Canis lupus familiaris: one gene and its partner. The protein of the gene in region 1 purifies or fractionates together with the protein of each later gene. This does not show direct contact. Links are inferred from orthologs where the notes say so. Each region holds a gene or a part of one and is shown in the gene's direction. Other genes may lie near its edges.

Evidence for each region.
Region 2: the proteins of S100B (region 1) and IQGAP1 purify together in Homo sapiens (co-immunoprecipitation; 3 studies listed by BioGRID and IntAct, with this or other methods). This does not show direct contact. The link is inferred for Canis lupus familiaris from reciprocal best matches to the Homo sapiens genes S100B and IQGAP1.

The regions. Positions count from the first base shown.
Region 1 is NC_049252.1:39,767,391-39,769,732, reverse strand, and holds the end of S100B (protein S100-B), read left to right. Parts: intron 1-605; coding exon 606-746; 3' UTR 747-1,692; downstream 1,693-2,342. UniProt on the Homo sapiens protein: Small zinc- and- and calcium-binding protein that is highly expressed in astrocytes and constitutes one of the most abundant soluble proteins in brain.
Region 2 is NC_049224.1:54,215,635-54,219,455, reverse strand, and holds part of IQGAP1 (ras GTPase-activating-like protein IQGAP1), read left to right. Parts: intron 1-153; coding exon 154-317; intron 318-1,567; coding exon 1,568-1,652; intron 1,653-2,349; coding exon 2,350-2,513; intron 2,514-2,723; coding exon 2,724-2,884; intron 2,885-3,821. UniProt on the Homo sapiens protein: Plays a crucial role in regulating the dynamics and assembly of the actin cytoskeleton.

The DNA.
Region 1 (2,342 bases):
CGTGGGAACCAGTTTATAAAATAGTTCACGGTGAGCGCGGCCGGGGGTCATTGCAGAGAAAACACTTTCAAAACCCGAAACCTGGGGATCCCTGGGTGGCGCAGCGGTTTAGCGCCTGCCTTTGGCCCAGGGCGCGATCCTGGAGACCCAGGATCGAATCCCACGTCGGGCTCCCGGTGCATGGAGCCTGCTTCTCCCTCTGCCTGTGTCTCTGCCTCTCTCTCTCTCTCTCACTGTGTGCCTATCATAAAAAAAACAAAAACAAAAACAAAAACAAAAAAACCCCGAAACCTGCGGGAAGGACTTCCACACGCAGTGAGGAGCTCGGGGAGAAGCAGAAGTCCGTGCTTCTGTCCATGACGCCATCCTCCGCGGCCCCCTGGATGTGAGCCCGGCGACGGCGGGCGGCGGGGGCACATACCCCGCATGTCCCACGGTGCCTTTCTGGGAGCGTCCGGTGGGGGAGACGCTGGGGCCCCGGCCCCTCTGCCGCCCCGTGAACATTCTCTCTGCTGCGGACACGTCGCTGCGGTGGCCGAGGGTCAGGGACGCGCCGCGGGCCTCGGCTCATCGTAAGCGGCGGCGCAATTTGTCCTCTCTCGTAGGAGATCAAGGAGCAGGAGGTCGTGGACAAGGTCATGGAGACACTGGACAGTGACGGAGACGGCGAGTGCGACTTCCAGGAGTTCGTGGCCTTCGTGGCTATGGTCACCACCGCCTGCCACGAGTTCTTCGAGCACGAGTGAGGCGCAGCCGCGCAGGAAGCGGAGCGGGGCCGAGTCCCTGGCGCCGTGTAGCTGATTAGGAAGCTTGACGTGCTTTGTCGAGGAGACGCCGACCCCCTTTCCCGGGGCTGACCTCGGGGCCCCCATCCTCCGCTGACGGTCCGTGCGACGCGGTCACGATCCTCAGGAGGGTGTGTGCTCCGCCCGTGGTCAGGGCCGCGCACCCCCCCCCCCCAACAACGCAGCTGCCGGGACCCAAAGGATGGCTCTGGACGCACGTGGGTCCTTGTCCAAAGTACCAAGTTAGAGACGCAGCTTCGCCCCGTATCCTGTGAGAAGCCTGCCTTTTCCTAAAATGGGTTTGTCATCCGTGCGAAGGAAACCCAGGGTCGGGAGGTGGCCTGACACGCCTGCCGCCAGACGGCCAGGGCATGCTGTCCCCGGGTCCCCGCTGAGCCATGGGAGCTCAGCAAACAGGGCTACAGCACTGGGCGGGGGCAGGGGGGGCGGGTCTCCCGGCTGTCAGGGCCGACACCGCATTCTAACCACCTTCAGCGGGGCTCCTGTGCCCCGGGTCACACGTTGGTGCCGAGGCAGGAGCGCGGCTCCCAGCAGGGCGTCCACGCCCCTCCGCACACAGGTGTTCTGCAAACAGCCCCTCTGGCCTCCCCTCCTGTCTGGGAAGCGCAGGTGTCGTTCCTCACTTGCTTGTGCCGAGACAGGGTCTGCCCCGCAGCGGTTGGTGGAGCCCGAGTACGTGGGAAGCTCGACGTCACACATGGGTACCCACGAATCCAAACGTTCAAGTATTAAGTCACTTCCGGGAAAGTTCAGATTAACCTTTTCTGCCCCTTTCCCTGCTGCTTCTTTACGTGCACAGACCTGGAAACCCATAAGCCAATTGATCGCTTGTGTTTGCATCGAATAAAGAGAGCATTGTAACGGGTCCCCGTGGCCTTGAACAGGAGGCTGGAGGGAAACTGCTGCAAAGGGGGGGAAGCAGTAAGGGGCAGGCACAGGAGGCCCCCCAGAGCCAGGCGGGTGCACAGGGCCCGGGACCCTGGGATGTGCCGGGGCGGCAGGGAGTAGATGCGGCGGGGTGGGGGCAGGAGGGCCGGAGGGCAGGCCAGCACCGGGTGGGACACACCCTGGCCGAGGCTCCCACCCTGGACGCAGCGCTGGGGGGCAGGGGGGGCGGGGGGACTCGGAGACAATGGTGGCGGAAGCCAGCGCGCAGGGACCATGTGCAGGGACGGCCCATCCTGCACCCCTGGATCTGTGTCTACACCGCAGTCCCTGCCGGGCGATCCGCAGGCCTTCCTGCCGCAGAGGACGGGGGACAGGGCAGCTGGGATGCCGAGCAGGGTGCAGCGGGTGTGTGGCAGCCCGGGCGGGCCCTGCAGGGCTGGAGCCTGACGCCCCAGGGCCTCCGCCGCCAGGGCCCCTTGCTAAGGAGCAGGTCCCTGGAGGAGCCCTCACAGTAGAAACGCCCCGAATCCTGCCCCACGAGGCCAGGCGTGCACGCAGGGAGGGTGCCCCCTGCACACAAACACCCGCCAGGACCACGTTCCATGGCCGCCTGGCCTCCCAGGCCCGGGCCGACGGCAAGGCTGCTTC
Region 2 (3,821 bases), on another chromosome or scaffold:
AAGATCTTGTGCTTCTGGGATATTCCAGAACAAAGGCCATCTGAGCTATATTTCGCTCTTCTGAAATTGAGGTTGGTTTAGGGGAAGGAAAGTGATGTAAGCTGTGATGTTCACAAAACGTCTTCATAAGCTGCGGCCTTTCCCCCTCCTCAGCGTCTTCTGCATTAGCAAATGTGGACCTGGCTTTGGAGCAGGGTGTGGCACCTGCCTTGTTCCGGGCACTGCAGTCACCAGCCCTGGGCCTTCGAGGGCTGCAGCAGCAAAACGGGGACTGGTACCTCAAGCAGCTCCTGAGTGACAGACAGCACAAGAGACAGGTGAGGATCGTGGGTCAGGCTGGCAGGCATTCACATACAGCTGTTTGAATCTTGTGTTCTTGCTGAAACATATTTGTGGGATCTCTTTTCCCTATAGTTACAGTATAACCTATAGTTTTTAGCATAACTTTCTGCATCTTAATGTAGGTTTTTATAATATCCTCAGGTAAAATACAGATTGTCTTTAGCTTTTGTTTGCTTTTATAGCTGTAAACCTTTTTTTTTTAAGATTTTATTTATTCATGAGAGACACAAGCAGAGGGAGAAGCAGGCTTCCTGCAGGGAGCCTGATGCAGGTGGGACTCGATCTCAGGGCCCTGATCCCAGGGCCCCGGGATCACGCCTGAGCCAAAGGCAGACACTCAACCACTGAGCCACCCAGACGTCCCTGTAAACCCTCTTAAACATAAATACTACCTGCCCTCCAAACCTGACTACCCCTTCACTTGAAGCATCCTTTTTAACCCTCCAATGAAAAGCCCTGGGGGAAAACCTGAATCTCTCCTACATTCTTACTTCAGGAATTTCCTACATAAAAACACACATCACTAGTTTCCTCTGGCCAGCACTGGGAAAGTACTTAACTAATGTGCAGTAAGAGCAGACTGTGTAATTGTACTTAGTGGGGCTGGTAGAACAAACACAAATGGCTTTCTTTTTTGTCTGAACAAGGCCCATCAAGTGCACATTTTGCAGATTCCCAGTATCTATGGCCAAAGCAAACAGTATTAATGTGCTAATGAGGCTGTAAACATCTTATGTCAGTATTTTTTTTTAAGATTTTATTTATTTATTCATATTTTTTTATTTTTTTTATTTTTTTATTTTTTTTATATTTTTTTTATTTATTCATATTTATTCACACAGCTAGAGAGAGAGGCAGAGACACAGGCAGAGGGAGAAGCAGGCTCCATGCAGGGAGCCCGACGTGGGACTCGATCCCGGGTCTCCAGGCTCACGCCCCGGGCTGCAGGCGGCGCTAAACCGCTGCGCCACCGGGGCTGCCCTTACGTCAGTATTTTGATGCTTCTTACAAACTTTTTTTTTTTATGTGCTAGTATCTGGAAAGTCCTCTACCCCAGATTTGGTGAGGGCATTGGTTCCCACTAGGACTACCACTTTCTCTGATGCAGCCTGACACATCCACTTAGGGCCGAACTTTGTCCCTGTGACTGCTATTGAGATACAACTGTAAGGCCTGGAGGCATAGCCATGAGAATCTTTACATAAATGTTCTTTGCTTTTCTCAGGGTGGTCAGGCTGATCCCCTGCAGAAGGAGGAGCTCCAGTCTGGAGTGGATGCTGCAAACATTACTGCCCAACAGTATCAAAGAAGTAAGAGTCCTCTCCCTGAGATACTGTGTGGGGTTAATGTCGCTAGGGCATCTGAGGTCAGATCCTGTCACTTCTCACCCCCACCCCAAGCCTGCTAGCCACAATCGACCAGCAGGTGCCACTAGAGGTGCCCTACCCTAGTTTTAGAGTAGAACTGGAGTCAGTGTGGGCTTACTCTGGCTAGCAAGCACTTGGTCATTGGAGCAGAGTCTTAGGGCTTGATTGGTAAGATCTGGGTGGTGGCAGAGAGAGAAGGATGTTCCTAACCTGAGCAGGGAGGAAAGGAGGTGTGAGCAGAGGTGCCAAAGGTCAAAGATGTTTTGAAGCAACAGCGGTTAGAATACAATATTTGTAGATATTCGGGGTTGAGCTGTGTAAGATAAACCCTTGGAAAGATTGTGGCAGCTTAAGAAGCTGGTACTTGATTCGCCAGGCTACATGGGATGGGAGAGATGCTTTAGAAAGAGTCGCAGGATGAATTGGAGTGGAAAATAGCTTTATTGGGATATAGTTGGCATAGCCTGCAGTTCATCTTCATACAAAGAGGGAGGCTGTTTTTTTTAAAGATGAAAGTTCCACTTCAAACATCATGGCTTATAGTTTATCTGCAGAATAGAACTTTCTTCTGTGAAAACTGAATCTCTTTCCTCTCAGGGCTTCCCAAGCCAGCTGCATTTCTGACCTGTGTTCTGTGCAGGGTTGGCAGCTGTGGCGGCAATCAATGCTGCTATCCAGAAGGGTGTTGCTGAGAAGACTGTTCTGGAGCTCATGAATCCTGAGGCCCAGCTGCCCCAGGTGTATCCCTTTGCTGCTGATCTTTATCAGAAAGAGCTGGCTACCCTGCAGCAACAGAGTCCTGAAGTAAGTCAGCTGAACCTCTCCTGTTTGTGACCAAAATGGGGCAGAAGTGAACTCAACACCTACTTCTTGGTGTGCTTGGCAGAGCCTTTTTTAAAAAAACAAACAAACAAAAAAACAGAAACTTAGACTTCTTATGGCTTAACTGAAGTCCTGACCTCACTTGGTATCCCGGAATGTCCTCATCTTTTTTTTCCTCTCCTTTCTGTGCAGCATAGCCTCACCCATCCTGAGCTATCTGTTGCCGTGGAGATGTTGTCATCTGTGGCCCTAATCAACAGGGCACTGGAGTCAGGGGACATGAACACAGTGTGGAAACAGTTGAGCAGTTCTGTGACAGGCCTTACCAATATCGAAGAAGAAAACTGTCAGAGGTGGGTCCCCAGAGTGGTAGATGGAATCCATTGGACAGCTTTTACTCTGTTGGGTGTCCACACTCCTGTTTTCAGGCATTGTGACTTTAGTATGATGCTTTTTTCCCCCCTATTCTGATTCATTTTATTCTTTATTATGCTGGAGGATTTATAATAAATTACATATATCATGACATTCCACCCCTCAATATGTAAGTATGCTTATCTAAAACAGTGAGGATATTTATTAGGTAGCCAAAATAGTACAATCTCATAGTACAAACCCTGGCAAAATCAATAGTTCTTCTTTAATATGTGCAGACCCTAGTCCATTTTCATACTTCTTCACTAGTTTCGAAACTGTCCTTTTCACCTGATTTCTTCAAACCAGGGTCCAGTGCAGGACTATGTGTTACACCTGGCTATTGTACCCTTTAGGTATCTCTTAATCTAGCATTGTTCCTTTCTTCATGATATTGACTTGTTAAAGAGATAGGACCAGTTGTTCTAAAATGTTCCATCTTCTGGTTCTGGTTGCTTCCTGAGATTTGGCTTATTTTTGTAAATTAGAAATTAGGTGTAAAGGCTTGTCAAGATCAAGTCAGCATTTTTGGTGTTGTGTATTTCATATTTTCTCATAACTAGAGGCATATGAAATTGACTTGTGTCACCATTAAAGATACTAAGATTGATTCTTGAATCCGGGAGAAAGCTTATCCCTCTTATGTGTATTTATGTTTTTCCCTTAGCATAAACTTTTTTTGCACCTTTGTACCATCAAAGTGTCCAGTTCCCCATTACCCATACATAATATCTAAAAAAAAAAAATTTTTTTTTATTTATGATAGTCACACAGAGAGAGAGAGAGAGAGAGAGAGAGAGGCAGAGACATAGGCAGAGGGAGAAGCAGGCTCCATGTACTGGGAGCCCGACGTGGGATTCGATCCCGGGTCTCCAG